Linked DNA regions of Caenorhabditis elegans. The protein of the gene in region 1 purifies or fractionates together with the protein of each later gene. This does not show direct contact. Each region holds a gene or a part of one and is shown on either strand. Other genes may lie near its edges.

Region 1 (15,661 bases):
AAACCCAGTGTTTGAGACAGCACCAGTTGTCCCAGAAGGTGGATTCCTTCCAACTTCAGAAGTTCGTCGCTCTCCATCTTCAGTATCTGAAGTCTCGCACTCAATTGATTCTAAATCAGATGAACTTAATACAGAAGAGGTAAATTTTTTTCGCAGCGTTCTCGAACATTTATTTTTATCTTTTAGTATGGAGGTCTTTCCGAAGACTCAAACTCGTCTGGAGGTGGATTGATTGGAACTATTTTCAATCTTATCAAGCTCGGAGGAAAGAAAGCTAAGGAGAACGCCAAAAATGGGAACGGAACCGCTCCAGTAAGATTTCATATTCTTTTTAACCATCTTAATCGAGTTAATTTAGGAAAAGAACACTATCGGAAAGGCTGTATCCAACCTCCTTTCGGGAGAAAACAGTCCATTCCCAAAACCTGGTAGCAACATTCTGACTGATATGCTTTTCAAGACTCTTTCCAGTGGTTCACTCGAGTCCAATGGAACTGAAATTGAGAAGAGTGAAAATGGCTCAATTGTCCTTACCCCAGCTCAATCTGCCGCCATCAGCAGCAATCTTGAAATGATTCAAGATCTTATCATCAAGCCAAACTCTCCACTATGCACACAAAAACCAATCCCGGTTGAATTTGAACTCGATCCTCTTATGGGACAATGGTACCAAGTTATCTACTCTCCACCAGTATCTACTGGCCCTTGCAGCATGGTTTCTTACAAAAAACTTAGTGATAATGGAGAAGGTAACGTGCATTAATAGATTTTAATCAGTTTTAACTAGTTGTTTTTCAGCCACCGGATCAATCGTAGATGTCTATGAGTACACAACTGATGGAACTCCATATGGAAAGCCAATAATCTCTTCTGGATATGCCTTGGTGAAAGGAAAGGGAGAACTCATCTTCAGAACAAATTCCAACAAAGAAGATGTGACTGTGCACATTCTTAGCGTTGGACCATTGAATCATCAGGGAGAATATGAATATGTTGTCATGTCCACCAACTGCAACTATCCAGTCTATGTATTTGCAAGAGATACTAGCATTTTCAAGCAGGTATGAAAATTAATTAACAGTGATTATGTTGTGATAATTCAACTGATATTATTTTAGAAATACGAACCAGTTGTCAATGAGTTCCTGGACAAGAGCGGAATTGTGAATGGAATCTCTCGCCTGCTTAATGTTGTTGCTCCAGTCGACAACACTATGTGCATCTTCCCACCACATCTTTTCTACAACCAAGGAAGATAGTTTACTCGCCACCATCTTAATAATTTCTAATAACTCCTAATAATTTTTAATATGGTTTTTTTCCATCCATCATCCCGTTCTCATTGCCCTTTCTTCTCTTTCAACCCTCGGGTGATTACCTCATCTTTTTAAGTCTTAGTTTACAATCCAAAGCATTTTTCTTTAATTTTCATTTAGAAACTACACAAAAAATCAGGCCGTGGGCTCGTGCATTCCTTGTTGTATATAGAATTTCGAATAATTTATTCCTTTTTATAATTTCGGTTATATTTTTTCTACGTCTTTCACACTTGTCCTAATAATGTTGATAATATGCAGTTAATAAATTTTTTAAACTATCTATTTTTAACATTTCTTTAGTAATGAAGAAAGAAGTACAATTATTAAACGGATGCGCAATTCTTAACAAAAATGGCATCGTCGAAAAATCAGAGTTGATGTTTCTATAATTGATCATAAAGGATTAAATACAATTAATGAATATTCTCAATTTCTCGGCCCAGATCATTCTTACAACCATGTTATAAAATTATTCAGAAAAGTCATTTTTTAGAACTTAAAACTTTGGTTTACGAAAAATGCCGATTTTGACTTATTGAGAAAGGGGTTTCTTCTTATTTTCTTGTATCAATTTACTCATTTTTCAATTAGGTCAGGTCAAACTCTGGAACAGTGTTTGCCTGTCACATTTATCTTCATCATTCCTATTTCTGAGAGTATCTCTCTATCTCTATCAGAGTAATTCAATCCAGAGGATTAGAAAGGGGTACGGGGAAAAGCGAATATCGGTCAAGTGAAAGTGGTGACTGTCGCAATGATTCGCGGATACAGTCCAGTGAATCTTGCATGAAGAGACGCAAAAGAAGAAGCGAAAATTGGCACGTAACGAGAGTGAAAGCCTATCGACGCTGGACATTTTGAGGTCAACATATATCTCACCCGGACGATACAGCCCATTGAGAAAGCCCACACTTGGAAGTTCTAACGATGCAACGGCTGACGGCGGTTGTTTTCGCCTGCGTAATTGGAGGAGTTTTCCTCGCTGCACCAGATGCACCAACATTCGATAGCCTGCCCGCTGGAATCGACCCAACTGCAAAGGTAAACATTTTGTATTTTTTTCAGTTATTTGAGAGTGCTCAATTTCAGATTGGACCACCAGGAACTGACGACAAAGCTCTTGTGAAAGTTGGAGAGGTGGCTGAATCAATTTTGGATAAACTTGGATTCAGTACCAGAGATGAAAAGGATATTCGTCGTGCCCCAGTGCCAAGTTCTTTCTTTGGAGTGAGTATCTATGTAAATCTGCTGAATGAAATATTCTTCTCGTTTCTGAAATTAAAAAAAAATCTGACGTTTAGAGTGACGATGTCAACCAAGTTATTGAAGAGGCTAATGCTAATCGTGTTGACCTTCAAGGAATCACCTCTGGACAAATCCCAGGACTTGCTCCAATCCCAGTACCAGGATTCCCAGGACCACAGGACGCACCAGTTATTCCAGGAGTCAACACTATTCCAGGACTTAGCAATTTTAACTACCTTGTCGGACAACTTTTCCCACAAATGATTCCACCAGCAAACACTCTTCTAGGATCTTCAATCAGCAGAATTCTTCCAAAGGATACTGCAAAAAATATCGCAAAGGATGTGTTCAGAGCTGTTCACCCAACTGCTGAAAATGTAGATACCGCTAGAATGATGGGAAGATGGTTCCAAGTTATCAACTCTCCACATGTCATCCGTGAGGCCTGCACCGTGTCACACTGTAAGTAGCAGATTATATATGTCTTAACTAAAACACTTTTTTTAAACCATCTTGCCAATGTTCAATTTTCAGTCGGAGCCCTTACGAACAACACATACTCTGCTTCCTTCACCATCCTCAAGTTCTACAGAGAAGGAAATCCAAATGGATCCCCAAGATATGCTCTCGGATACGGATTCAAATCTGGAGAAACTGGACAATTCGTTCTTCACAACTCCAATTCTGCTGATGCCGAGCCTTGTAAGTTATAAACTAACTACATAATTGATAGTTGTGAAATATGCTCAGTCTGGGTTATCAAGATGGGACCACTCAATGAGTACAAGCAATACGACTACGCCATCGTTTCTACCTGGGTCAGATATCCAGTCTTTGTCATTGCTCGTGACCCAGAACGCTTCAGAAAGCTGCACATGAAGAATGTCCTCGAATTCTTGCAACAGAACAGTGAGTTAACATGGTAGAGCTTTTTTATTTAATAATTTTAATATTTAGACTACATCAACGTCATGACCAAGGCCTTCAACATGATCTCTCCAGTTGACTATGAAGCCTGTCAGTACACTCCAACTTTCTCTGGAACCGGAAAGTAATTGCTTGCAAGCGCCGTACGACTGTCATCTCGCTGTCGGGTATCCTCCATCAATTAATTGTTTCTCCCCAAACATTCCATTCTGTGTGTAGACAGATTTTGTAATAATAATAATTATAATAATGAAACTAATAACAACAAGAAGTTAGTTATAATAACTTGTAATTTTTCCCTTTCCTTGTGCCTCATTAATAACGGATTCTATGAAATCCTGATCCTCAGTTTGACAATAATAAACTATTTGATATTAAACCGTTGATCCTCAGCAAGTGTATATATTTTAAAATTAAATAAACAGCTTCTTTTTAGTTACATAGAAACTGTAAACTAAACACTCCGAAGGCAGTTTAAAAAAGGTAAATGAAGTTTACAAAAATGCCAACATAGTAGTGGAGCGGGGCCATCGGAAACCGATTAATATTTCAGATGTGAAATAGCTAGACAATTATTCAGAATGATCTACCGTTTTGAGTAACATAATCTGTTAAAATTTAAACAAGTCAACAATTGCTCATTATTTTTCTAATTTCATCATTCCTACAAACTAAAATTATTTACAGAAACTGCTCCCTACTCTGGAAGTTTGAACCTTAAATAATAAAACTTCAGGGATTTGAATTTGTGTTCCGCAATTAACTGTTTAAGCTTTTGGATTACAAATGTCTTGGTTTTATACCTGAGGTTTGAACAAACAGTTTTCAAGATTCACAACATCCATTTAAACTTTATCACCGACTCACAGAAGATGCTTCCTACGTGCCAGTTATTTTGAGAGATAAAGAGGAAAGCCTCTTTGGAAAAGTGCAAGCAACATTTTTCAAATATCCAGGTCATCTTTCCCAAATCTTGTCGACCAAAGGCGACTGTGTTGCGCATTGCGCTTCTCAGTGGATTATGTCAGATTCGATATCAAAAGTTTTTCTTGGACAATTCTCTCATTTCGCTTTCGTAACAAAATTGGGTCATGGTCGGTTGTGTTTTATCTCGAATTTCCCGGATAGCTGATTGTAGAAATCGGATAAAAAGAATGAATTAAAACAGGGAAGTTAATTTGAAAAATTCGAGGAGAAAGGCAGCCGGAAAATTTTATTTTGCGTGTCAGTTGAGAGAAAAGTGTTTATTATAAGCGTGTTTAGTTCAGGACCTGATACTTACAAACATGGTAAAAAACGAAACTGGGCAAATTAGGAAAAATCGAGTATTTTGCCATTGAAAACGACAAAAAATGTTCAACAGTGCCTGAATAAACCATGAAAGTATTGCCCAAGATAATTTTAAGCAGGTATTTAATATTAGTAGTATTTAATATTAGTAGGTAATCAGGTAACAAGTATAGGCAGGTATGCTTAAGGTTCATTTTTATTTTGCTGAAGATATTTTGCTTTAGCTACTTTCAGACATTTCCCCGTATATTTGCAATATGTAGAAGACTGTAGTCGGAGAAATGTATCAAATAAGTATCTTCAAGTAAAAACGTTCTAGAGAATTGCCTGCAAATTTGAATGTTTAAAAATTGACAATTTTTTCCACAGAAAATATATAAACAATTGCATAACTTTTTTAAACTTTTTAATTATAAAATTTAAATCAACTCTACAAATTTCCTCTCAATACTCATTGATTTTCTATTTTAAAGGTTTATGTTCATGTTCAACAATTATATTCACGCGTTTAAATTTTATTCCTAGATTGCTCAATTCATTATTCATTGTCCTTCTGTTCAGGCGCATGTTTTCCGAAAGATCAGCATTTGGGCACGCTCCAGGACAAGCATCAAAATGACAAAATTGAGTTTTAGCTCTCTGAATGTATGTCTCAAATCCGAATCACAGAACTATTCTTGGTCACGTTTAGTGCACATTGTGTTGCATCTCACTGGTCAGAATAAGGGGTACTCATTGCACAAGCTCAAGAAGACGACGAGAAGCAAGATGATGAGTTGCGGCAGACGACAAGACACATAGATCGATAGGCGCCGGTGATGGAAGTGGAGAGCAATGGAGCACGCCTCTCGCCCCCGGGCTTCATTTGAAACCTCTTCTTCTTTTTTTCCCTTCTTTTGCTACTTGGGGCCTTTTAGAGAAAAAAAAGGAGTTGAAGAAGAAGGAAAAGTCGCCGTTTTGCTGTTGTGCTTGCTTGTTTTTCCTATTTCTCCTCCTTTTTCGTTTTCTTCCAAGTGGTGTGCACCAGTTGAACGCTAGCTGCAATGGAGGAAGAACCAGTGCGTCCCATTGACTACTGGGTTTGTAAGTGACACTTAAGTTGGGAATGTGCAGAGAAATTGCAATGATTTTAGGTCGCGCAACAGATAGATTCATCGGTGACGAGGAAAGAATTAAAGCATTGGACTTCATAATTGAAAGCATTTATAAACAAGTAAGTTTGAAATTTGTGAGAATCAAGGAAAACAATACAACTGGACAAAGATATTTTGAGAAACAATACTTTGAAAATGCATGTCCTTTGTTTTCGTTTATTTTCAATTTGATTAGATGTAATTTGCCTTTATTTTTTAGTTAAACATATAACTCAATTTCATCAGTTTGCTTCCGTTTATTGATACTTGGGTAGTGCTCAAAATAATTAAATTCAAATTAATGAATTGAAATCAAAACGTAAGTTCTTTTCTAATTTCTAGCATTAGAAGTAATTTCTGAACCTAAAGATTGAAAAAAATTGAAATTTTATTAAAATTAATATTCCCGTGTTTAAATATCACAAAGATCTACAACGTACAAGTTTTCAGCCTGCAAGTGCACTGCTCGCAGTGGATCTTTTTTCACACAAGCTTTCAAGTCCTTCACAAGAAGAAGCGATGCTTACAATCAGAGTGAGGATTCGTTTACTTCAAAATCATGTTCAAAGATTTTCTATTCAAAAAACCATATTAGACAATTATTTTTTAGTTTAAAATAATGTTTTTCAGGCTCTTGATTATTTAGTACGCAATGGAGGCGAAAAGGTTCATGAGCGCTGTGGTCGTTACAAATTCCTAAATGAGCTTGTCCGATTGATAGCTCCCAAATACAATGGGAAATTGACAAGCGACGCACTGAAAACGGAAATCATAAAGCTGCTGTTCATCTGGCAATTGTCAATCAAGCACATTCCAAAATACAAGCAAGTGTACGAGTCATTAAAATTGAGCAAGATAATCACTGACGATCCGCATGTTAGAGAAACTGAAGTTCCTGTTTTCGCAGGTGATTTTCTCTTCACTTTATAATAATAATAAGTAATATTCACGTCTATTTTCAGTTCCACCTGTCAGGTCATCGGTGTTTGACAATGAAGAGCAAGCCGTTCTTTTGAAAGCTTTATTATCAAGTAATCGCCCAGAAGACTTGGAAACTGCCAATAATCTAATCAAAACTCTTGTAGAAACTGTAAGTTTTTTTTTCAAAAAGTCAATGTTTCAGTCATTGAACATTGAATTATAGTCAAGTAGTCGAAACATCAACTTTGAAATCAACTCTAATCAAATTTTCACGCCTGACGTTAGTGCATGTAAATTCACATTAGACGTAATCCACCCACGAGTACATTGCAGGAAGAGCACAAGCTTGTCAAGATTCATGAACGCCGGAAAAAGTTAGATCATGCTATCAACCTGTGCAATCAAGTTGAACATCTACGGCTCGACAAGGCGGCGGAAACAATCGGACTCGGAAATTATTCGCCAGATAATGAACTTACCCTTCAGGTTTTGATTAGTATAAACACTTTTAATTATTAAAAATTTCGGTTCAGAGGGTAACGAATGAACTGATTCAACTTCAAGAATTGTTTTATGGATATGTCAATGAACTAGCAGAAAACAATGATCCTTGCCTAGAAGAAGTTTTAAATATTAACGACCAAATCAATAGAGTTCTGCCCGAAAATGAAACTCCGAAATGTGGAAATAGAGCCCCAATTTCGGCAAGAACTCAGTGTAAGTCCAATTCGATTATTTTCAATTGGTGGGCTGTTTCTTTGACTTCTTCATTATTAGTTTGTGTTAGCATTTAGTTTCTATAATAAATTAATAAAAACCACTGAACAAAAAAATATTCTTATTTTAATTGTTTATTCATTAAATTGAACTGCAACTAAAAAGATCGCATCATTTCAATTCTATTAATAATGATTATTTAAGTGGATCCAGAGAACCAAGAATTGCTTGTTTTCAACACACCAACAAGCGAAGTGCCTCCTAAGAACGGATTTTGTGACCCCCGTGATTTGGTTAGTAGTTTTAATACTCAAACTTTCCGAAAACCAATGATAATTCAGGAAGGAAGTTTGCTAAACAATATGATAGAGTCGGAGTTCGTCGAAGAACCAAAGGTTGGTTGGAATTATTTTTTCAAAGTTTACGGACAAAAAAATTTTCTAGATCGTTCCCGTTCAACAAATGACGCCCGTTTTGAACCGGAACAGCTCAGCAAGTCCTCGTGCTAGTGGAGACTCTTCTATATTTGAAACTGATTTTCTGGCTGGGAAACGGCTCCCAGAGTAAGAATTATTCATTTGAATAATGTAGTTCAACGATTTTCAGACCTCTCAAACCACCGACATTGAATGAGTTGAAACCAAATACAACAACAATTACGCTAGAAGCTTTAGAAGTTCTGGTACCACCAATGTCCCCAGAACCAACAAGTCTGTCCCCAAAAGCTATCCCTGAGAAAGTTGCACTGAACCCAAGTTCAATAATAATGAGTTTGTGAACCAAGTTACTGAACAAGTTTAATTCAGAAATTCCAGGGAATCGCGTACCCATTGAAGTACTCTACAGCAAAGGTATGAGGATTCTTCTCTACTATTGCCAATCAGATATGACTGTCAGCAATATTCATTCTTATGTGTTGGTTATTCAGAATCACAATAATTTCACAATTAAAGATGTCAACTTGAGCTTGAAAACAAATGATAAGGTAACTGATCTTCAAAAAACAAAGCAATTATTCAAATTCTAATTTCCTAAACCACATCATGTTGATTCATTTAGAATGTCATTATCCGGCTGCAGGATTCTGTCAACAATCTTGCTGGTTTCAATATATTTGGTCAGCAAGAAACAATCAACCTTCTTCTTTGCATTCAGCAACTTAATGACGTCAAAGACGTTGAACTTGACTTCACTCTAGCTTACAAAAAGAGTTTAGAATCGGCGATTAGTGGAAGCTTCACATTACCCATCATTCCAGAACATATTTTTAATATTAATTTTTGAATTGTAAATTGAGAAAAATATTTTTTCGTTTGTTTTTTTTTGTCCCGGTTTACATATTTTGTCGATTTCGAATGACTAGAAAATGCTAAACATCCCCAATTTTGCTTGTATACGTTTCATGTAAAGGTTTTTGCGAAGGAAAATATAAATCTTGATTTAATCTTTTAGCTCAGGCAGTAAAACGCTGGCATTAAATGCAATCTTCATGGCACTTGTGTTGGAGAAGAGTACAAAACTACCAAGGATTAATTTTAATAAATATCTTTATTTTTCCATGTATATGTATTCATTGAACATTATATTGTTCAAAACAACAATAAATGAACTGAAAATGGTTTTAATAATACTTTTCTGTCTTTTAGAAAAAATATTTTATGTTAACCTATGTCGACAAATATATTATTGACGGTGTGTCTAAAACGTCAACTTTTCATATAGCTCAATTGGGTCTCAAACAACGTTTTGTTGTTAAATTTATTAGAAATAGCTTGAAAACATAAACTTTACAAGAATGGTTGTAACATTAGCAACTGATTGATAACTCGGTAAATTAGCACCACTTCACCACCAACTTTAGCCACTTTATAACTGCCATTTACAGAAGTGGCAAAAATTGGTCGAAGTTGGGCAGTGTTTTCACGCTCTGAACAACTGGGAAAAGTTGGTTGGAGTTCGCAAACGTTGACCAAAGTTGGCAAAACTTGGCGAAAACTGGTCAAGAAGTGGACAAGGTTGGCTAGAAAAAAGGTAAAGTTAATAAAGTTAATTGGAAAGTGGTTGAAACCTAGTGGAAGTTAGAAAGTGGAAAACAAGCAACAGGTATATTTTCTAGTGCCGAAAACAAAATGTAACGGTTATTTAAATGCTAAAAAGTTTAAATTATATCAGCACGATGAAATGTCAGTTTAGTCTGTGTATTTTATATATATATATTTATTCAAAACGTCGTAATTGTGAAACAAATTCACGCTTTTAAAAAAGTTTTAATCAAATTTTTTTAATTTTGGAAATTTGAAGTTCGTTCTCATTTCTTCTAAAAAATACTTTGAGCATTGTGGATTATGTCGTCTAACAATTTGCCACTGCGAGAATGCCAAATTGTCGTAAGGTTCGGTGTGCGCGGACTTGCGGACCTGCGGGGTGTCCGTGCGTGAGCGTTTCCATGCACCCCAAAACACCTTTTTTCCCGACTCGTATCGATCTGCAACTCTCTTCACAATATGTTTCTTTCGATTTCTGTGATATTTTCATTTTTTTTATTGAGTAAATTTTGCCTAACAAAAACGTTTAAGGCAAATATTTTGCATCTTTCGGCGCAGGCACTGCCGACGTTTTTGTTTTTTCATGTTTCCACCTTCTGGCGCTCACACAAAGAAAACACCTGTACAATCGTCTTCAATCAGTCAATATGTTTCTTTTTATCAATTCTTATCATTCCGTCTTCTAGTCTCAAAATATAATTTGATTTAAATCGGTCAATTTCTCGTAAAAACATTTGAAGGAAATTATCGATTTTTCAATCCACGCCAAAGCTCTTTTGTGTGCTACAGCTAAAATCAAGTTTCGCAGATCATTTCAAATGATTAAGAGTCTTATCAATGTCAATGACAAACTAAATTTGTCGGCTCGAGGCATAATGTATGGTTTTCATTTCTCCTTTGTTCCTTTCGTGTTGAAAAATATATGATTAACTAGTTTTGTCGCAGCTCTAAAATATGCATGTTTCCAAAAATTCCCTATTGTTATTGGAGCGCACTTTTTGTCTCTCCGTCTCTCTTATCGTTTGATATGCCTATAATCTCTAGCCACAGTTGTTGTTTTTCATTTTTAAGTTGCGATTCCATTTATCGATTAATTAATATTTTACTTACATATTTCAGAAAATCATGCCGGAAAGAGCTGATGCAAGCTCCGGAATGGTGCTTCTTACCGGAAACTCGCATCCTGAGTTGGCGAAAATGGTGTCAGAGAGACTTGAGATTCGCCTCGGAGAAGCGACTGTTTACAATAAAACTAACCGAGGTAAAATTTTGTGTTGCATTAAGAAAATCTAAAATTATATTGACAGAAACCTCCGTTGACATCAAACAATCGGTTCGTGGAAAACACGTCTTCATTCTCCAGAGCGGGTCAAAGTGAGTTGCAAATGTTCTTGATGGAAACTAAATTGCAATCTTAAGGAACGTGAACAACGATGTGATGGAGCTGCTTGTTCTCATCTATGCTTGCAAGACATCGATGTCAAAGACAATCACAGTCATCATGCCATATCTCCCATACAGCAAACAATGCCGAATGCTCCGTCGTTCGTCAATCGCAATGAAACTTGTTGCCGAGATGATTTGCAAAGCAGGTTAGTGTGTAAAAAGATTTGCTTTTACACATTACTAGAACTCGGGCAGTACTCAGTTCTAGTTCTAGTTTCAGTTTTAGTGCGAAAAAATGTGTCATCGACAGTTTTCACATAGGCAAATTTTCGAAAATTGGGAGAATTTGTTTATGTATTATATTATAGTTTTTTTTTCGATCTTTTCCAAATTTTTAAGCCGCTTGCCAAACAAAAAGGTTTTCATAGTCATAAAGTGTTTTTATTTTCAGGTGCCAGTCGTTTAGTCTCATTGGATTTGTACAAGAAGGAGATTCAAGGATTCTTTTCGTGCCCAGTTGACAATCTTCGTGCTTCACCGTTCTTCCTCCAACACATCAAGACCAACGTAAGATAATTCCAACAAGTCTCTGGAAATATATCGGACAATTTACAGATTCCGGATTACAAGAATGCCATCATCGTTGCCAAGTCGCCGGGAGTCATGAACAAGGCCACTTCTTACGCGGATCGCCTTCGCCTTGGTAACATATTTGAATTTTTGAAACTAAATTTCCTTTAAGTACCCTCATACAACTCAATCATCACTTTGCAGGATGTGAGTTATAAATTTAAAAGATTGAGAAAGTGAGAAATAAGCTTATTCAATTTCTTTCTCATTCACATATTATACACAAACACATGATGGTTGGGCGAGTTAACAGACATGGGAGTTTTTCTCTTGATATATTTTTTCTACTTGTGGTGAATGTTGTCTCTGAAACGACGACTCACTTGCACCCTGTTTTCGAAACTTCTCTTTCTCTCTATCCGGCTCCATCTATATAAGTTTTGTCGACTCCCTCTCATTTTTGTCTCGTTTGTCCATCACTTAAGAACATCACACATAACACACTTCATGTTGAGTTTTTCATAATATCCTGTTGAATTTCCAGGTGTGGCTGTTATTCACGGAGAACAAAAAGACGAGGAAGAATCAGGTCTTGAAGATGGACGTCAATCGCCACCACCAAATGTCACTTCGTACGATTTTCTCCCAGCTCAGGAGTCCAAGCAGAAGCCACCACTTACAGTTGTTGGAGACGTTGGTGGACGGATTGCAATTATGGTGGTAAGTTATGCGATACATTTAAAGCTTTAATTCTGTTTTAACAAGCTTCATTAATTGAACAAAGTTGGAGTATTGCTTTGTACTGAGAGAAAGATTGACTCCATTGACACCACCAAACGGAATTTAATTTCAAATATTTCCAGGACGACATCATTGACGACGCTCAATCGTTTGTTGCCGCCGCTGAAGTTCTGAAGGCTCGTGGTGCATACAAGATTTACGTCATTGCCACTCATGGGGTTCTGTCGTCTGATGCTCCTGCACTTCTTGAAGCTTCTCCAATCACCGAGGTTAGTATAAGAAATGTATCATTTGTCACAGAGTTAACAAAAATTTTTGAAAATTCAGTTGACGCACTGATTTATGGTAGAAACAGGCTCAGAACAATAATTCAAATATTCAGGTCATTGTTACCAACACTGTTCCACACGACCTCCAGAAAATGCGTTGTCACAAGATCAAGACTGTGGACGTCTCACTGATGATTTGTGAGGCAATTCGCCGCATCTTTCACAACGAGTCGATGGGACAACTGTTCCGTGACGTCACCCTTGACGACTAGTTCTTCCGGTTACTTGTATTCTTCTCATTGCTCTCAGTTCACTTTGTCTATTCCAAAATTACGCTTCTTGAGTCCGTCTAGTTAGACCACTTTTCCCCCAACAAATCATCAATCACCGTTTTACAATACATTTCCTGTGCCAACTTTATACTTTTCATTTATCCGAAATATATGCTTTTTGATTGATTCCCATGATGAATACAGAATAGGTCTCAGTGCATTGGAAAAAGTCGGAAACTAAACTTATATTTCAGTTGACAAGGATGCACATGTATCAAGGAAATGCCAGTATTTCAATCGTTTATTTAGAATCGAAAAAATGAGTTGAAAATTATCTATGTGTTGACAATGAAGAAATAAGTTACGAGGAGTGACAAATAAATAAATACCAGTTATTGAATAATTTTAAAAACCAAAAGCTCTTTTAATTTTGTTCCAGGTTTCCGTCACTACTTTGTTCACATAGACCATAGCGTCGTATCCGTATCTCACAACAGTTTGTGTGTACCTTTAATACAAGTTTCAATGTAATTTGAAACAGAGAAATTATAACGATTGGAAAACTTACCGACTAGGGCATTTTTCCAAACATCTTGTAAATTCTGCATCTGATTCACGTCGATCAAATGGATAAAATGGCGGATATCTCCTTATGCTTTCATAATACTCGATAACATCGTATTGATTGTCGTGAACACTACAGCTTTTGTTAATTTCTGAAAACAAGCATTCCGATTTTTCATTGATAGTTTCAGAACGTTCTAATTGAAAGAAGCAAACTCACGGTATCTATCCGACGACGGCGAAGCTAAAATAAAGACAAGTCCTCTGGTAAAAAATCCACCTCCACAATCCCAGCATTCACTGACGCTTACAGAGTTAATAATAATAACGAATATCATCAGTTTCATCCTAAAATATTGAGGTTTCTGAGCTCTAAAAGTGAGCAATGCGACTATCTGAGAAGAGTTTGAAATTGAAGATCAAGTGAGAAGGTTTTTTGAATGTTGGAGTACAACATTGCAATACGGCAATTAATCACCTTGAAATCAGTGGAAGTAGAGTTTTGAACAGAAAATTGTTACAAAAAGTATAATAGATATTGAGTTCAGACTGAACATGAGTGTGATTTATTTTGTATGCAAAAAAAAATACAGAAAAAAAAACAATTAAACGGATGTTAATAATATTGAACAATCAAATGCAATCACTTCAAAATCCTAGAGCTGTTTTAAATTTGTTCCAGGTTTCCGTCAGTTCTGTGTTTATGTAGACCATAGCGCCGTATCCATATCTCACAACAGTTTGTGTGTACCTTTAACAAAGATCTCAATGTAATTTCAAAACGAAATTATAATGATTGCACATACCGACTAGGACAGTTTTCCAAACATTTTGCAAATTCTGCATCTGATTGCCTTCGATAAAATGGGGGTGCAAGACCCCATCTTTCAGTTCTCAATTTTTTCGTATTGTCTGTCATGTGTTGTACAACATTTGTTGATTTCTAAAAAAATGTAAGAATGATAAATTGTACTATAAAAAACAATTTTAAGTATGTAACTCACCTTCTTTGTCAGAAGAAGGAGATGCTAACAGAAGAGCTAGACCTTCAGAAATAAATCCACCTCCACATTCCCAAACACCAGTAGCAAACATAAATACAAATTGTCAGTTTCATTCTGAGATATTGGGAATTTCTCAGTTTTTAAAGCAATAAATGTGAAATGTTACTATCTGAGAAGAATTTTAAATTGAAGATCACGCGTGAAGAAATGTTAAATGTTGGAGTGCAACATTGCCATACGGCAATTAATCACCTTGAAATCAGTGGAAGTAGAGCTTTGAACAGAAAATTGTTACAAACAGTAGATTGAATTCTGAATGAACACGAGGGTGATTTATATTTTATGGGCAATGAAGAACCAAAATACAGAAAAAAATCAATAAACGAATGTTAATAGTATTGAATAATGAAATGTCAAATGAATTATTTCAAAAGCCGAGAGCCGTTTTAAACTTATTCCAAGTTTCCGTCCCTACCCTGTTCATGTAGACCAATGCACCATAGCCGTATCTCACTACAGTTTGTGTGTACCTTTAATACAAGTTCTGTTTTAATGATGAAAATTATAAATTTCACCGATTCGGACAGTTTTCTAAGCATAAAGCAAATTCGGCATCTGATTCCCTTCGACAAAATGGGGGTTCACGACCCCGTTTTTCACAATCCTCAATTTCTGTGTATTGTCTGTCATGAGCCGTACAACATTTGTTGATTTCTAAAAACAAAATGTCAATGATAAATTGTAAAAAAAAAATTGAGTTTTTTTAACTCACCTTCTTTGTCAGAAGAAGGAGATGCTAAAAGAAGAGCCAGACCTTCAGAAATAAATCCACTTCCACAGTCCCAAGCACCAATAGTGAACACAAAGTTAAAAGCAAGAATACAAATTGTCAGCTTCATTCTGAAATATTGGGAATTACTCATTTTTTATAGCAAGAAATGTGAAATTTTACTATCTGAGAAGAACTTTTTTTGAATGTTGGAGTACAACATTGCAATACGGCAATTAATCAACTTGAAATCAGTGGAAGTAGAGCTTTGAACAGAAAATTGTTACAAAAAGTAGATTTTGAGTTCTGACTGAACAAGTCTTCCTGAATTTCTCTTTTTTTTCCGGGAGTGTGAAATGGTGTATTGCGGCCCATCAAATAACTTCATCATAAAACACGTCGTACACTTTTAACAGTTTTTTTGTTGAAAAGGCAGACTCACTTCGCGACCAAGAACATGATTATAACATTGTCAAGTACAAAAATATG
Region 2 (17,858 bases), on another chromosome or scaffold:
CTTTTTCTCGAAGCTTATCAGATTGATCCGGTATTCCCATTGCTTGAGCTATTGCTTCAACGCCTTTGTTCAATTGTTCAGCTTCAGTGAGTTTATTGAAGTCTTTGAATTTTCCAGAATCAGGAAGTTTTCGCTTCTAAACCAGAGCGTTTTGAACTTTTTTTGAACTACAGAGCCCGAAATGTGCAATCATGCATAAACCTTGACCTGTTTCATGAAACTTACCGCATTCAAACACTTTCCACCAATTCCCAAATACATGTTACATGTAATAAGTGTACATTGCTGTAAACGTGTCATCACGACTTGAATTGTACGAATCCATTGCTGAGGATTCGCGATGAATGAAGTATGAAATGAAGTAAGGTGATAAGTAGCAACTCGGCAACTTGTCAAAGCTTTCAGATGGATGTACTTATTATTTGGTTTCTCATTCTATAAGTTATTCAATTTTCACAAATCACGAGTCCAACGACTGAAATTACCATCAAAATTTCGATGATGGAAGTTTGTGAGAAATATGATTCACCACTTCTAAGTGTTTTAATATTGCAGTCGTAACGCTTGTCACCCTAAATGATATATTGAAAACATTATTTATTGGATCTATTCACTTACCAAACTAACATTTGTAAAAATACCCAATTCTCCAGAAATCACAACCACTATTACATCATTAGCACGTCCAGGAGACAACACTACACTTCCTGTATCAATTGACAATGTTTCAACATCTTTCGGGTCTAATTGCCATGTTGTGGGTAATTCAAGGCCTTCTAATGCTTTCAAAACGAAGAATATTTCCGGTTTGATGTGTGATGGTACTTGTTCTTGCTCGTTTGGCTCGAAAAGTTCTCTGGGAGGCTGCTTTGAAATCTTTTCACTAGAGTCTCGTTTCTTATCTGGTGTCATCTCCTCCTTGCTTGATCTGTAGTTTTACAATACTTTGAAGATTACATTTGCAATATGCTGGATTTTTTGAGGAATAGTTCTGACATATATTAAGGGGTTCGTGTAACTTGAATCCAGCTAGTCAAAACCATTGGGAGTTCTCAATTGCAGCTAGAATCGCTCAAACCCTGTAGATTATAAAACTTATTTTACCTTTTCTTGTGTCTTAATGGACTGATTGGATAGAATATTGGATTTCGCTCCGGCGGATCAATGAACACTTCCGAGCTATTTTGAGTAGTGTCAGGGAAATCTGAACAAAACATAATAAGTTAAGCTACACGAAGGCTATTCATACATTGCAAAGTAGCATCTTCGAGTTGTTTACTAGGCCAGAAGTAATAGATAAGTATCACCAATGTAATACACATACATAATTCTAATATCTGGAATATACTTATCTTTTATTAAATTTAGAAGTCTAGGCACTTACGTTTTCAAATATTAAAAGTAATACCGACAACAGGTAATGTAACATTTCGGAAAAATGCGAAATATCCTATTTCTTCTCGAGAACTATTCGGAAATAAATTGAGTCTCCAAATTGAAGAAAACTTTTTTGTTGAATACCGTGGCGGGATAAAAATTACGTGTACACAATTTGACAAGCCAATTAATTAGAGCTTGTTTATTTAAATTCAGGCAAAATATAATAAAATAAATAGGCAAATTCAATAAAAATGTACAAAACGTTTTTAATAGTTGATTCAATGATACAATAAATCAGTAAATTAACGAAAACAAATCCTTGTCGGAGAGAAATCTTGCCAACTCATTTTTAGTATTATTATCCATTGAAGTCGAAATATGCCTCAGAATTCGTTCTTTTTCACCAACAGAAAGTGTTTGATTCTGTTGTGTCATCACTATTCGGATGAGTTTTTGTTGTGTTCGTGTCGATAGTTTTGGTAAAACTTTCTGAAATTTTCAAATAAGTTTTTTAAGATAAAAATTGAAAACTCACAAATATTCTAGATTTTCGTTCTCTTTCATCTTTTTCCACTCTCAACTTCCAAGCCTTGTGCTCCTGTTTCGTTTTTTCATCCAATTTTTCTACTAACTGAAAATGTTTCTATTCTTTTAACTATGATAGTGAAACAAGCAGCCGATAAATACTATTAAAGAAAATAATTTTGAATTTGCGTGTAGCAGCTAGAGAAGAAAAGTAAGATTTCCCATTCTAGTGTATATGGAATTTGTGACAGCTATTATAATTTTTTTTTTTGGAAGTTTGGCGCTGTAAGTTAATTAAACTTATCATCGTCGAACGTGGCCGAATATCATAATAATACTCCAAAAATTTGTTAGGTGTTTCAAAATGTGCAGTTAATAAATTGCCAGATTTTCCAAAAAAACGGACTTTTTGAGTAATTTCGGTGAACTTAGAACTAATTGTAAGTAGGTTCCAAATTGGATAACAATTTGAAAATCCAGTAATTATCTCTTAAAATGAAATAATAATTTATAACGTTCGCATAGCGCCGTGAAATTGGAATTTTTTCATAGAACAATCGTAGAACATAATGCTTTCGTTAGGTTTAAAATTATTACTTTCGTAGTCAAAAAAGTCTAGATGTAGTGAGTGAAAATTCCATAGCATGTGATTTGCCGATTGAAGCAGAACAATATATAGTTTAGGTTAAGTTTAGATTAGTTTCAATTAAGTTTCAATTTTGTCAATTAAACACTTTCCGATTCTAGTTACTTACCTTGTCAATTTCTTTGTTGATCTGCTCTATTGTCTTTGTTTCTGCACTACCGAGGATTTTCTGAAAATCTTGTTTTTTAGGTGACACAGTAATCAAATATTATTTAGATCTGGGAAATAATATCAAATTCTTCCTAAACAAGAATTCGGAAATAACTTTATGTGATAATACTTATAATATTTCAAAACATTTTAGGTCTTCTTACATCAATAACTTCCGTTGACGGAGCTCTTTGTGTGCTGACAAATGCACAAAAGACAACACTGACAATGGCAATATTTTTGATCATACCAACAGAAAATATATTATTAGTGAACACCGGATGACAGGTGTGATTCAGGAAGACTAATTGTCCAGAGATGGGCAAGACAGCTCTTTCTCACAAATAGGGCGGAGTCGTGGCGCTGTACAAACAATTGACCAGAAACAAAGGAAAACAACAAGAAGAGAAGCCGGACTGTAGATGTGTGAAAAGTGTCTGTGGCGGTGCAAGTGGTGGTGGGCAAGCAAACATCATGTTATCCTCCCCGATTGTTACAAACCTTTTGTTTTTTTTTTTGCGAATTATTTGAATCAGAAACTCTGTGAAAAAGGGAGTAAGAAAGTGCAGTTTTCACAATACTATTCTTGGATTTATTAGAGCAACTTGAAAACTGTTAGCAACCTTGAAGGATGATATTTCTGAAAATGCCACAGTCGATTGAAAACTGCAAAGAATTGGCAAAGTGTATGCTTTGTTGAGAAATAAAAGGTGAAGTGTCGCAACTGGGGAAATTATTTAATTTAATTTAATTTAATTTATTACGATTTTTAGTCGTGAAAATAATATGCACAACAGGCAAAAAATAATAATAGAAAAAATACAGACAGAACACAATAGAGAAAAAAATCAAAAGGAAATGCAAATCGGGAATATTCAAAGGAGAGATCAAGACGTGGAAGGGAAGAGGACAAATTAAGAATAATATCAGATCAGTGTTGTTTCATAGTAGAAAGCGTTCTGTTAACAAAAAAGTGTCTCCTAAGTTTAGTTTTTCCTGTGCGCCAGACATATTTCTTTTTAGAACGAGTGTGGGTCGCTTGTTGCTCAAAAAACTCAGATGTTTTTAAGTCTACTTTACCAGTATTCATTCTGATTACTTGGATTCTGTCAATTATTTTACGTCTCGTGCTTAAGGTTTGGAGGTTGAATAGTTCGTTACGTTCCATGGCTGTTTTGTAATCTTTATCAGTTGGATTAATATACCTTTTTTTGATTCTACTATAAAGGCGCCTAGTGAACGCGTTTTGCACAGACTCTATTGCTTTCTCATCCGATTTTTTCGTCGGAGAAGACACTACTGTTCCATATTCTAGACGAGGACGAATGAAAGTTTTGTATAAAAGAATCATTAGTTTTTTATTGGAGGTACTGTACTGGTTAAAAATGTTGGCCAGCTGAAATTTCGCCAGATTGATAGATTTCTTCCAATACTCCGAGAAATCCAGTTTTTCTGATATTAGAAATCCAAGGTCTCTGGTAATTGTTTTTCGCTCTATAGGGTAACCGTCAAGGTGGTATTTAAAATCTTTTCTACATCTCCCTACTGTGACGTGAACTGTCTTAGATTGGCTTAGGGTGAGTTTTGCTCCCCTTGTCCAATCCACTACAGCGTCTAGAGCAGCCTGTAAGTTGTTTTCTGTTTCCGCCTTAGGGGTCGATACATACAATTTCACTCCCAGGCTGTTAAAGTGCCCAAACAAAAATTCGGCTTGCGTCGAATTCAATTTGATTTTCGTCTCTCTGCTCGCGCCATCACAATTGATTTCAAATTTAAAAGAAGTATCATAACTTCAGTTTAAAGGCGCACGCTGGTTTTTTCTGAGTGAATCTCGCTACGATCTCAATAATAGTAGTCGCTTGAAGTCCCAAGTTTCACAAATTATTATTTGATGTGGAAAATGGAGACCCGAAGAACTCGGGGGATGTCCAATTGGGGGGATTACCAACTCGGGGGATTGGCCCCGCCCACAGAACCGTGGCTTGCAATACGCCCATTTCTGCAACTGCCGCACGGTTTTAAAATTATTTTTTCTTGTTATTTCTCGCTCTATTGAGAAAAATACAGTTTTAAAACCGTGCGGCAGTTGCAGAAATGGGCGTATTGCAAGCCACGGTTCTGTGGGCGGGGCCAATCCCCCGAGTTGGTAATCCCCCCAATTGGACATCCCCCGAGTTCTTCGGGTCTCGGAAAATGAAGTAAAAAAATAAAATTCTTCCGTGCACAGAGAATACAAAAGGGTGTGCGCCTTTGAAGAGTACTGTAGTTTCAAACTTGTGTTGTTGCAGAATTTTCATCGACTTTTGAAAACGTTTGAACATTATCGAACATTTGTGAATATATTCGTTTTCGGTTTTTTTTTGTTTTTACTTCCCTCCTTAAAACAATCAGTGTTCCTATAAACTTATTAACAAATTTTGACAGAAAGCATTTCATTTCGCAAGGCGGAAGAGCAAACCGATAATATAAAATTAGGCGAATATAAGGGAGGTGAGAGATTGACAAGTTGGTTGGAAAACGGCCCTATAGAATAGCGATAGAATATCACAGAGATGGTTGGGGGGGGGGGGGGGGTTGATGGTGGTCCATTGAATGCAATATATAAAATAATAATAATACAAAAAAACATTTCCCTAAAACGCTAAACAAATCAATGATGGTTAAAAAGTAGGAAAACAAGGATTTTTGTTAGCATTGCTATGAATATGAATTTTTGGAAATTTCAAAAATAAAAAAGAACAGGAAATGTTTTGGGTGGGTGTGTGAAATGATGATCACCGGTCTAAAGTGTATGCGATAGAAACTGAATTAAAACAAGTGAAATACAAAAGGGACTATGAAGAATTAAAAAAAATTTTACAATTTACACACAAAGAAACGATAGAGTGCTGTTGTTGCATGGCACATGAGGTCATTGAATAGAACGATGTTTGGCACAATTTATCGGAAGAAATCATCACCAAATGGATCAGCATGAGATGAAGTCGTATGCTGTTGAGTGGCAGCCATTTGAGCAGCAGAACATGTTGTCGACATGGAGTTCAGAGAAGCCTGAAAAATATTTAAAAATGAAAATACTGCAATTAGTTTACGGACAATTTCACAAGTTCCTACTCCACTAATTTTTTCAATTTTCAAAGATAAAAACTAAAAAGCTAGTAAAATAGATTAAATTGTACCTTTGGTGGGTTTAAGATATGCTCAAATGGATTCTTTTTTGTCTCCTTGATACCCTGTCCACCAACCAATGCGTCCATATCAACCAATTTCGTGAAAGCTTCTTCAAGCGACGTCACCTTCTTTTCACTCCAGGTTTCGGCCCTGAATCTTGTTTTTGATTATTATTAATTTAGGTTTTAGAATATCACTCACTTATTATCTCCAAAGTTGGCAAAAGTGCTGGCGTGATGCAATGATGACTGCTGTTGTTGGATATTAGTAGATGGTGCCATATTCTCTTTCGTAGTCCCAGTTCCAGTCCAATCAATATTTGAATTTGGAATAGCAGAGGAATGTACAGAGAATGGATCACGGTATTGTGTTGGAGCAACAGTTGGAAGTGGTGGTGGCGGAGCTTGAGTATTGAAAGCCGACGCAAATGGATTAGTATCCGAGAATCCGTTTGTTCCGAAAGCAGGTGTACTATGAGCATGGTGCATTTGTTGCTGCTGTTGTTGTTGTCCCCAAGCGTCAAATGATCCAGCTCCGGATGTTGGCCAATTCTGATGAGATTGTTGAGGAATTTGAACCATTGGCATCTGCATTTGTTGAACTTGTGGAAGTTGAAGTCCTCCAAATGGCACTTGAGTTCCAGACATATTTGCAGTTCCATTTGACGTGGCTGTACTGTTGAAGCTGTCTACGAAAGGATCTCCAAATGGTGATGCTCCGAAGGCATCACAGTTTGTCGGGACAGTTGAAAGTTGTTGAACTCCTCGTTCAATTTGCTGAAGTTCGGATTCCAAGTCGAGAAGATCAGCGACGGCGACTCCACCTTCCTTCTTGCTCTGGAACTTTTATAAAGTCATAACAATGGACTTTTATAATTTAAAAATGCATTGGATCTTTGGAATTATTCTAAAAACTCACACTAATTTCAGCTCCACCATCTTGAATCTGTTGTTGCTTAACTTGCTCAATCTGTTTTTTCTTCATTTCAAAAACAACTTGGAACATGTCTCTGATAGCAAGAACTGCTTGATCAGCTGCCTGTGCTGTTTTGATTCCATAGAACTTGTACTTGCCTCCAGGTTCACCGTAAACAAGTCCAAAAGCTCGAGCATCAGAAGAATCACGAGCGATGAAAGAGATTCTTGATACTGGGAAATTATGAAGAACAGCGCCGCTCTTTTCATCAAGAACTTTGATTCCATCAATGTTGATTTGAAGAGTAATACGTGTTTTGTGAGCTCCAGCAGCCTTGATAATACTCTTGGCAGTTCGCATTGCTTCAGCACACATTGCATCTCCTCGAGCCTTGTCCACATCTTGTTCTCCGATCAGCTTTCCCTGAAATAACAATTTTACAAAAACTACTACATGAATCATTAAAAAAAACTCACCTTGTAGGAAATTCCATTGTTTTGAAAGCGAAACGGATCCGATGATGCATTTGATGCTAAAAAGTTTAAATTTTAGATTGATAATTATAGAGTAAATCATACCCCGCGCCTTTTTCTGCTTGAATGATTTGGAAAACGAACGCCCTAATTGCGTCTTTTTCATGATAATTAGGTATTCACTTAAAATGAAATTTGCAAAATCTATTAATGAGTTTAAAAGTATACAAACACTCGTTAGAAATCGATATAGAAATCACATAGAGCGGGCGCTAGAGAGCGTAAAGAGATAAGAAAACGAAGTGAGACGCAGAGAAGAAAGGAGCAAACTTTCTGCTTGGCAGATCATTGTCACAAGTTTTTGGGGGAAAAGAAAGAGTGAACCAATAAACTTTGAACTCTTTCCTGAAAATGTTATAGATAACAAAAAGATAACATTATCTATCTGTTGAAAATTGGCAAAAAGGCTATCTTCTCGTTAAATTATCAAATTGATATCTCTACATTCACAATTGGATACTCTCAAAAATTGAGAAATCATTTTTTCGGAACTCAGCTATGTTCTCACCTTTCTTGGTTCTCTTCAGCATTGCAAGTCGGGACTTTGGTGATGGTGGATTTGGTTTTCCAGATGTTGCATTTGCCGTTTCCACTGATATATCCGACTTTTGAGCCATTGTTTCGAGAGAACCTTTAGAAATAAGATTTATTACAACGAAAAAAAAATAGAATTTAAAAATTACAGTAAAAGAAAACTAAGAGTATAACAAAGCTTTTTGGAACGAAAGTGAGACCAAAAAGAATTGTGAGGTGGTGGTGGGGGATAGAGTGTGAAAGGAGGGTGAAATCATGATCAGCCCCCTTGGGGGCACATGATCGACCGGTTTTCATCTCCATATCGGAATAAAAGAATACAAAAAAATGAAGACGACCGTGAAAAAGTGCAGTAGTCATTTTTCATACTTCAAGGTGACAAGTTGACACTGGATATGTACTTGTTATTACTTTCGAAATGGAAATAAGAAAAAATGTCGGATTCAAATAGCAATACTTTTCAAAAGCACTATGCAATCTTGAAAATAATTCTTAGGTAAATAAAGTTATTTCATACTGACAAATATTTTGAAGACACACCTTTCCAATTTGAGCGACGATATATTCTAATTAATTTATGACATGATTCAGAATAATATTTCAAAAAACGCGAGATCATTACGTAGACGTAATCTAAAGTTGATACGAGTTACAGTAACCCGTTGTCCGCGTGGCGAGACCGAGCGCGTAAGATCTGGCGAAAAATTCTATGAAGCCGAGAAATTGATTTTTTACAAATATTCAATTCAATCTTTTTTATTTTATTACAGTCAACCTTGAACTAAGAAAAATAGACTGTTCTTCATTTATTTTGCGGTCAGGGGACATTCTTTTACATCAGCTGATTACAATCTTGACAGGAATGGGAGTACGTAGTGTGTGATGTAGTTAGTTTCATAAAATCGAGATCAGGACTGTAACTTAATTATTGTAATAGTCAATGCATAATAGAACACTAAATCACAGTAGAAGAAAGAAAACGAAAACAGATTGACATTGTTAGTCATCCAAACCGAAGTGAGTCACTACTGTGTTGACTGGAGAATACGACAACTGTGAGGATCTGAATTATTACGAAATCAAGAGAAATCAGCCATAAAACTATCGGAAATCGTTTGGGCGATCCCAAAACTCTTATGTGTAACAAAAACGACAAAAATAAAGAAGATTTGTTGACCAACAATCAGGTAATGTCGTCAAGTTTTGCAGAGAAACATTTCATGACTAAACCAAATAGGGAAAATCAATACAAATATGGAACAATAGCCAGAACGACGGAAACATGGCCAAAAGGTGTGCGTAGCTTTGCTCAGCAACCAGACGATCAAGTTGCTCTCACACTCTCTTCTTCCGCGCGGAAACTCGCCGGAACACTCCTCCTTTTCCTCCAAAACTCAATGTGTGCTTGACTACTAGATTTACAGGACACACACACCTTCGGGGATGCCGCCAGTCATTTTGCAAACATGACGTAAAAGAAAGACAGCTGCAGTCAGTCTCTTGTGAATTTATCTGCCTCTATCTGATGTCCTTTTACCTCTCTGATCTTGATGATTCCTAGGCTAGGATCCCCCGTTACGTAACATCTTGATTTCACATTTTGCTGCGTTGAATTAATGCGTCACCTGGACAGTGGATGGGAAAATGGGCAAGAAAATCGAAATATTGGAAGAAGATGTTAGACACGAAGGCAAGAAAAATCTTGTTTCTCTTTTATATGGGTTAGTATCGAATTGAAAACTTGGGAAACAGTGAATAGCAACATAATAATTATATCCTAACCAGCGTAATTTACCAAAATATTTCAAAAACTTTCAAATCGATAGGGATAATTTGAAATCGTTTTAGGGTACTGCACATTACGCAAATTTTTTGTTCGGTTCAAAAATAATTAAAATATCATTCTTATTCAGCATTATTATAAGGACAAAAATAAAGGAACAACATTAATGCAGCTAGGTCTATTAATGTCAAATCCGTCGGGAATCGTAATAAGCTTAGCTGTCAGATACGGAAACCTAAGTATTTACACTCATGTCGAGTACTGTAGCATATATTCAAATGAGGCAAACCAAAAACCGGAGAAACGGAAAACAAGCAGGCGTCAAGAATGAGAATGAAAAGAAGCAGAATAACGTTCATCTAACTGAATACTTCGTCAGCACCATCATCATCAACGTCTCCTACATCTACTAATCGGAGAAATCTCAACACACTTGTGATCATGGCCATCATTAGAAAATTACTATTAATATAATGATGTCTTTTTTTTCGTTTTCGCTTCTATTCAAGTCTGATGCGATGATAAAATTCTGTTGATGACGACGACGAAGCGGCGGCGGACGTTTTATGAAAATCAGGTTCTTTTTCGGAGCGGAAATTGAAGGTGACCGTTGAAAACACAAAAAGTAACTTCGAAAAAATGAATTTTATTTCTTTTTGTTGTTGTTATTGAAAACAAAAAATCGAGAAGAGAAACACCCAAAATTCTCAAAAGCATCAAAACAATTATTGGAAAGAGACCGTACTACGAAGGGATTATAATTCCAATATGAACACACAATAAAAGATGCGAAATAAGAAATGTGTTATACTTCTTCAACACACAACAATACCATCTGAAGGACACACTAACCAAATCGATCGAACACGTAAGTAATTGGAGTTGAGGTCAAAATTGCAGCCGAGTCAGTAGTAGTAGGCGGAAAGAAACAATAGTGACTCATCTAAACAAAAGCATGAGTGGGAGGGACGGTGAATAAAGCGAGGGACTTTTCGTGCCGAGACCACGAGGATTGACGAATAACATCTATCGATTCAAGTAATTGAAGCGGAACGAACGCTTTTTGGTGTTGACGGGAGGATTGGGTGGGGACGAACGGCGGGACAGGATAATTACCCGAAACTGCGCAGAAAAAAAAACATGGACAATGGTTTCAAACCAAAATTGTGAAGATCATGGAAACTAAATAATAGAGACAAGAAAACGAAACTTGTGAGTACCAATGGTAGTTCTCTAAAATAGAAAGTAAAATAATGTTTATTTACTACAAAGCATACAGAGAAGATGTAGATTAATTAACTACTACTATACTAAGCTCTATTGAAACGGGAAACCATGTCACTATGCACCATGTCAACAATATGGTTCAGTACGAAGCGTTAATTTTTTTGGAAACAGAATGTATTTATCTCCAAAACTCTTTTAAAACCCGCATCGTTTCGTCTAAAAACTCAGATAAAAAGGTAGAAAATTTCATTACTAGGGATATTGAATGATATTTTATAATTTTATAATTAAGATATTCGAGTTTTCTTAAAAAAGGACGCCTCAGAAACCACTAATTTTATCATGCATAAATAAAACTGACAGGATCAGATCACCAAAAAAGCCGGCTTTCCTTTGCCTCCACTCAAATTGAGACAAATATCGACTGAAGAGGGACCCCTACTAATGCTGCATGCTGGACATGTCTACGTCTCTCATCCTCTTCTACTTTTCTTTTCTTCACGGACATCCTCCGCGTGTGTATGTGAGCGTGCGCGCACACGAGAGGTAGAAAAGGGTTAAAAACACTCTGCATACAGTCACTGTGTCCAGACCAGTTTTTTGTCTTAGACTGAGAGAATAGTTTTGAGGCGAAGACGAGAGAGAGAAGCGAATAAAATTGAAAGAAATCAGTTGCCTATTCTTCTATTCATTGTCGCAAACCTCGACAAGCATCACCATTACTACGCAGATCGAGAATAAAGTTTAAAATTTTATAATGTAAAGAAAAATGACAAAAATTGAAAACCTGTCTCAAGGAAAGATGAATGAAGTTTCTAACGAAAAAAGAATTGAGATTTGCGCGGGTAGATCAAAGGTTACTGTAGCAAATTTTTTCAAAAACTATTTAATTTTATAGGTCTAAATTTTAAATAAATTCAAACAAACCTGCGAAACGGCGAAATTCTCTCGATTACTGTTTATATTATTCCTTCTCATATTAGATTTCATTTACATTCGCCAGTGACACGATTTCCTAAATATTTATTCAAAATCGAGTCAACGTAAAACTGTGAGCATTTGATGAGAAAACAGAGCAAGCTATATAAATGGGGAACAACCCCAACAAGAACTATGATGAAAAAAAAAAAAAACAATTTTGATGCCCATTTTTATTTGTGGTGGAGGTGGTGATGATGATAATAACGGAAGGACAATTAGTTAAAACAGGAAAAACGTAGAATTCAAGGAAGTGGAAAATTTAAGATGGGCTGATGAGAGGATATTAAAATTAACCAATTGTCACAATTTCTAGAAGATCCAGGAATCAGACCGAAGGCACTGACTTACACACAATTAGGAAATTTGGAAAAGAAATGAAGCTAAGAGCTAGTCAAAAGTCTTCGTTTTACGATAAATTCGATGCAATTCAACGAAATTCCAGCACTCCGAAAAAATTCAGCGACTTTTCGACCGTCTCTTAGAAAAGACCCTTTAAGCACGAAAACAAGCATAGCAAGAAATGTTCTCGGGACCAACTGGTATGGAAATATGAAGGGAGAAACCAATAAAAAACCAACAGCTAATTTAGAAACAATAAACAAGGAGACTATGAAAGGGTTATTCAAATAGAAAAACGAATGAAAGAAATGGGAACTGGGAGCAAATAAACGAAACGGGAATCCAAATGAGGATATAAATATTTAATGATTTGGAGGAAAACGTGATATTTTTAGTGATCATCAGAAGAAAAGGGTAAGGTGGGTGGGAAAGGGGCTATAACGAGTTGATTTCTGCGTCTCGAAACGAAAAATGAAGAGAATCTTCACGTTTCGAGACGAGTTGTAGAATGAGCGGAAGTTTGCAGGAAAAATGATCTGAATGTCTGAAAATTGATTTACTTCAGCTAAATCATGATAATCAGTTATTCATTTTGAAACTTTTCTTGCAAACCTCTAACAAAAGAAAAACAAGCAATAATATCGAAAACCATTAATGGGATACCCAATAAGACATAAAATCGGTAGGGATGGACGCGCGGCGAAAAAACGAAAAACTTGACATGTTTAGACCGTATTATCAACAACTCGTTCTTATATAGATAATTAAAATGGGTTTTAGCACACAAAAAAGTTCTCTATAAATCTACTGTGGAGTTTGAAAATCCAAAAATACGATAAATTAGTTGCCCGTCAAATAGCTCGACAACGTTTTTCCATTTTTAAACGTCACTGCTTCCATTTCTGCTGAAAGTCCTTCTTCCATCTCAGTCTTTAACTTCATGTCCGAAAACTCCCACGAGATTCCTTCTGCAGCGCCAGTCACTTCAAGCTCAAGCTCGATCTGAAAAAAATTAAATTAAAAAAATAAACGCAATGTACTGAATCTGAGCACTAAAATTTGCAATAACTCACCAATTGCTTCAAAACTTGAACAAGAAGGTCAAATTTCTTATTTCCTTCTCCTTTGGCAGCTGAGAAAATTGGCTTCATGTCCGCTAATGAGAAAGATTCAACTTCTCCAATTTCGTCATGTGGAGCATGACTTGTGTTCACGAGAACTTCACCAGTAACGGTCCACAATTTGGGATAATCTTGCTGGAGCTCAACATCATTAGCGAATTTGCAGAAACGGGTAGCTCTGAAATAATTTGTAAAGCTCAATAAATCATAAACTCTTGCCTTACCCCTCTATAAAAGCTTGCTTCTCAGTCTTGCTGACCAATGACATCCGCAGAGCAATAGCCAACTTCTTTCGATCATCATCCTTCAAACCTTTTTCGATCACAGCTCGGATAATCATCTCATAGACTACTGTCAATGACGGCGAACCGTATTTTTCTTTTCCAACATAATCGGTGATAGAGTCAACCAATTCCTTTTGGGAGAGCTCACCACTAGACATTTCTAGAAGATCGGATTTAACGGTATTCATAATCTTGGCTCTGACAGCTTTCTCTTCTTCAGTCAGCTCATCGTCGGTCTTGTCAGTATTCGAATTTTGTGATGTGGATCGCCGCGAAGAAATTGACATTGCACTGATTTCCTTTGCAGCAGCTAAAGCGGCCTGTTTCTCGTCAACAGTCGACTTTTTGCGTTGATCATTGGAATCACGTCGCCCCCAAGCTGATTTGACTGGAACGGCAGATTCGGAAGAAGTGTTTCCTCCACCAGAAGCACCAGAATGCCACTCTTTTTTGCTCTTCCCAAGAGTATTATTATCCATCGAAGAGAGCGAGATGTTTTTGGGTTGAACACCTGGAAATTGCAATTAATTAATATTGAAGAAATATTTGTCTGAAAATACTTACTCGATGAGGCAAGTTTTGTGTTAGCTGCAGCAGCGGCTCTTTTTTGTTCAGGGTGTTGCATTCCTCGGTTCCTATCCAATGAATTCCTGGAGACTGGAACTGATTTTCTGAGAGAGTTGCTGTTTGGTCTGACACCTCCATGACGACGATCACGATCCCGATCATATTGATCACGAGCTTTCTCATTTTCAATCTTCTCTTGACGAATATCTTTGTGAATTTCATCGATTTTTTTCGGTCCAGACTCGGTAGATTTTCTTGGAATCCATTTGTCTTTGCGAAGCTCCATAAGATTCATGATCATGAAACGGATTTTGTTTGAGCAGTAAGGTTTGGCAGCTTCCAACTTCTGGAACCATTGATCAAGGAATACGGTCGTGGAATCTTTTGATTTATCCAACATCACGCCTACAGTCTCGATGAGTTGAAGACCACAGTGAATAGATTCCTCGTCGACATCCTCTTTTTTAATATCTTGGTCCTTGATCGAATTGAACAATTCGAATGTACACGTTTGGACGATTTTTGTGGATAAAAGTTGATTTCTATACAGATAACCCATAAACGTCATAACTCCGAACTTTCTCCGTCTAAATTTCTGTTTCTCCTCTGCAAGCATCAATTCCTTTTTCACTGGATCTTCTTCTTTTTCGATGATTGCCAGTTTGTCTGCATCAATGTCTTTTTTATCCTGGAATGTCATCTGCGTCCGAGTCAAAACCTTATTTCTGAAGGCTGACTTTCCGCCGGTCTGGGATAGTTCATGATTCGCCTGAGCCTTACACATTTCAGCGTACAAAGCACAGAACTTTGGCTCTTCAACTGCCTTGTCAAAGACGATTTCGACAACTTGAGCGAGCTGCGCATCGTTGGAGGATACATTGTAGGAAATGAATTCTTCGGTGAGAGGACGTTGTGATGTAGGCGTCACCTTGTTCATAAGAGACCGAACCTTCTTACAAACTTCCTGAAATTTGGTTTAACAGTTTATAGTTTTGATTAATCACGAATAACTTACAATAACCGCAGCTTCCTCGCTTGCAACAGCTTCCGCGGTTTTTTGACGGTCTGGCTTCCATGCATCTTTCGATGATGGAAGTGTAACTCTCTGAACTCGTTCAATCGAAGGTCTAACAACTGGTGGTCGCTTGTTGTGCATACGATCTCTTTGCTGCTGACCGCCACGCCCGGTTCCATCTGTGGTTGTTCTTCCACGGTATGGCTGAAAATACAATATTGTTTGAATTATGGCTTTTATTAAATAATGATAACTTACAACCTGCTGGCGGTTTCCTCCTTTGTTTGCCCAGTTTGGTGTGAAATTAGGCTTCTTATTATCAGAAACTCGCATCGTTTTGATATCCAATCCGAAATCAGCTAGCTGAGCTGGTGACAGTGGACATGGGGTCCGAGAGAAAACTTTTTCAATTTCGCGAATAGTAACCATGAAATCTCTTCCAAAAGTTCCATCCGAGATGACAGCACTTCCGGCCAGGATAAGCTCCTCGATTCTTTTCTCTAAAGCTTCCTCGCGAAGTTTTTTCTTTTCAATCTCTTCGGCTTCTTTCTGTGCTTTTTCGATTTCCAGCTCCTCAGGAGTCTTTTCTGTAGAAGAGTCAGCAACGTCTGGCGTACTTTCTCTTTCATCATTCTCCTCAAATTTATCATCATCAGTTTCCTCTTTTGATTCTTCCTTTGTCAGTGTTGGAGTAACTCTGACATCAGCTACAGTAGATGCTGATTCTGCAGTTCCACTGGCGGGCGTAGTGGTGGTTGTGTCTGATGCATGGGGAGATGAAACAGGCGTCACAAGGGTTTCTGCTTGTTTTACTTCGTAATCAGCCTTTGCTGGTGCTTCTGGAGTTTTCGGAACGGACGGTACAACTTGTGGAGCTATGGATGCTGCTGGAGGTGTCTGTCCCAGGGCTGGCGGTGGTACGCTAAAATTGGGAAGTACAGCAGCTTGCACCGCAGCTGGGACCGCAGCTGGGACCGCAGGAGGATTATCATGTCGTCTGTCTTCATGATGTAGTTCATTTTTGACCTGATTCAAGAATTCTAAAGTAATGTTTTGTTTTTTCTTTTCTTCCTCTGGGGCAATCGGGGCTGCTGGAGCCGCTGGCGCTGGTGCAGCTGGTGCAAGATGAGGCGTCACTTCAATTGCCTTTTTCGTAGTTGGATCGACAATTTCCAGTGCTTTCCTTTGCCGTTTAGGTTCTTGTGGAGCTGTATGAGTCATCTGTTGTTGTGCTGGCTGAGCTGGTTGATATGGCATTTCTGGGTGGTATTGCTGAGGAGCTTGGTAGCCTTGGTACTGTTGATTGTACATCTGTGGTTGATGACCATAGTCCGGTCGCTGATATCCACCACTGAAAATGATATTCATGAAAAACTGGTAGGTAACAGAAGTAAGCGTTTGGGATACTCATATTTTTAAGAAAATTTATTTTTCAGTGTGAGTAAAATTTTGGAAATGATAAGCTAAATATATTTAATATTTAAAAAAAAACTTACTATTGTTGCTGGTGCTGTGGTGCTTGTGGCGGATAATAGTGATTTGTTTGTGGTTGGTTGTATTGTTGTTGGCCATATTGTGGATACGCCGACTGGTTCATTGGCATTCTTTGATAGCTGAAAAAGAACTTTAGCCATGGAAAATATTTTCAACTTCTTACTTTGAGTTCACTGGGCCAGATGTGTTAACAAATGGCATCACGAATTGTTGGGATGAATCCTGCATAGGAACTGCATTGTGATCTGAATGAAAACCTTGAAGGAATTAGAAAACTGACAAAAACCGTGAGCACTTACCTTGATTCGGCTTCCCTCTCCCAGGCCCCCTACTAACAGCGTTTGACATAATCTTTCAGTTTGAGGAAGTCACTGAAAAGAGTTTTAATAAAATAAAAAACGATAGAGAATAATTAGAGAAGGGGAAATTGAGGGAGGAGGAATAACGTTATTTTTCAAAATAAGAGCAGAGTGAAGGTAAAAGTGTTTTCTCTACAGATAGCAAGAACAGAAAAAGTGCAGAACGCAGCGTTTAGAATATCGATTATTTAAACTGGTGATGTCAACAATAAAAAATGACTGCACATCGTCTCCTTCATACTCAAGAGCAGAAGATGTGCATGTATCGACAGAATTTAAAGAACGTGCACACCGAGAGAAATTACATGGATCGATGAAAACTATAAAATACAATCGCATAGAAGTGGTTTTACGTTTAGTCCGTGTGAATCTGTAAGAACTTAACAAAAATTATGAGTAAATTCCAAAGATATCGCCAGTCAGAACAGAAAGTAAACAAAGTCTTAACCAATTTCGCAACCGGAAATCAATAAATTTCGAAATGCCTGATTTCAAAACATTGAAGAAATAAATATTGATCGAAATTTAAAATTTTGAACCTATGAAACAAAAATCAAGTTTAAAAAACAACAAAACGTTTGTTTTTTTCCGAAAAATCGATATAAATTTAGGCTGAGCCAAGAGACAATGGGTCTCGTAGCGACAAGTTGCCTGCCATAGTTCCAACTCGCGTAAATCGACACAACTCTCCTCTCTTTGCACGCTATTTCTCCCTCATCACATCGCTTTTCAAGTATCTACCAAAGAAATCCGGTTTCCTCTTTGGAAATCAGATTTTATATTAAAAAAAAACAAATAAACAAACCGTTACGGAAGATGGCGTTAGAAATCGAC

Evidence for each region.
Region 2: the proteins of apt-9 (region 1) and dab-1 purify together in Caenorhabditis elegans (affinity purification with western blotting, with the first as the bait; one study listed by BioGRID). This does not show direct contact.

What each region holds. Positions count from the first base shown.
Region 1 is NC_003284.9:11,062,942-11,078,602, forward strand, and holds apt-9 (ADP-ribosylation factor-binding protein GGA1), read left to right. Parts: upstream 1-5,585; 5' UTR 5,586-5,824; coding exon 5,825-5,864; intron 5,865-5,914; coding exon 5,915-5,994; intron 5,995-6,364; coding exon 6,365-6,448; intron 6,449-6,544; coding exon 6,545-6,821; intron 6,822-6,876; coding exon 6,877-7,004; intron 7,005-7,060; exon of another isoform or gene 7,061-7,150; intron 7,151-7,168; coding exon 7,169-7,321; intron 7,322-7,368; coding exon 7,369-7,552; intron 7,553-7,756; coding exon 7,757-7,845; intron 7,846-7,893; coding exon 7,894-7,947; intron 7,948-7,996; coding exon 7,997-8,115; intron 8,116-8,158; coding exon 8,159-8,322; intron 8,323-8,367; coding exon 8,368-8,537; intron 8,538-8,611; coding exon 8,612-8,836; 3' UTR 8,837-9,106; downstream 9,107-15,661. Other genes in the region: lpr-5 (Lipocalin domain-containing protein), read left to right, coding at 1-139, 187-312, 359-749, 799-1,061, 1,119-1,259; lpr-4 (Lipocalin domain-containing protein), read left to right, coding at 2,247-2,360, 2,409-2,546, 2,621-3,026, 3,099-3,266, 3,315-3,473, 3,522-3,619; W04G3.5 (Ribose-phosphate pyrophosphokinase N-terminal domain-containing protein), read left to right, coding at 10,723-10,858, 10,905-10,971, 11,017-11,189, 11,435-11,550, 11,599-11,686, 12,098-12,273, 12,417-12,563, 12,677-12,835; W04G3.12 (uncharacterized protein), read right to left, coding at 13,241-13,343, 13,404-13,551, 13,620-13,746; W04G3.10 (Phospholipase A(2)), read right to left, coding at 14,831-14,933, 14,979-15,117, 15,176-15,302.
Region 2 is NC_003280.10:8,216,409-8,234,266, reverse strand, and holds dab-1 (PID domain-containing protein), read right to left. Parts: upstream 11,880-17,858; 5' UTR 11,792-11,879; intron 7,952-11,791; 5' UTR 7,938-7,951; coding exon 7,829-7,937; intron 7,548-7,828; exon of another isoform or gene 7,427-7,547; coding exon of another isoform or gene 7,366-7,426; intron 7,320-7,365; coding exon 7,264-7,319; intron 7,211-7,263; coding exon 6,791-7,210; intron 6,715-6,790; coding exon 6,074-6,714; intron 6,029-6,073; coding exon 5,881-6,028; intron 5,753-5,880; coding exon 5,642-5,752; 3' UTR 5,118-5,641; downstream 1-5,117. Other genes in the region: nte-2 (Putative patatin-like phospholipase domain-containing protein M110.7), read right to left, coding at 2-136, 226-435, 486-572, 619-928, 1,105-1,204, 1,250-1,337, 1,385-1,429; M110.9 (DUF148 domain-containing protein), read right to left, coding at 1,675-1,869, 1,916-2,011, 2,661-2,720, 2,866-2,949; ifg-1 (MIF4G domain-containing protein), read right to left, coding at 13,025-13,186, 13,258-13,483, 13,530-14,100, 14,154-15,120, 15,172-15,375, 15,430-16,522, 16,668-16,784, 16,829-16,922 and 1 more; M110.3 (E3 ubiquitin-protein ligase MARCHF5), read left to right, coding at 17,841-17,858.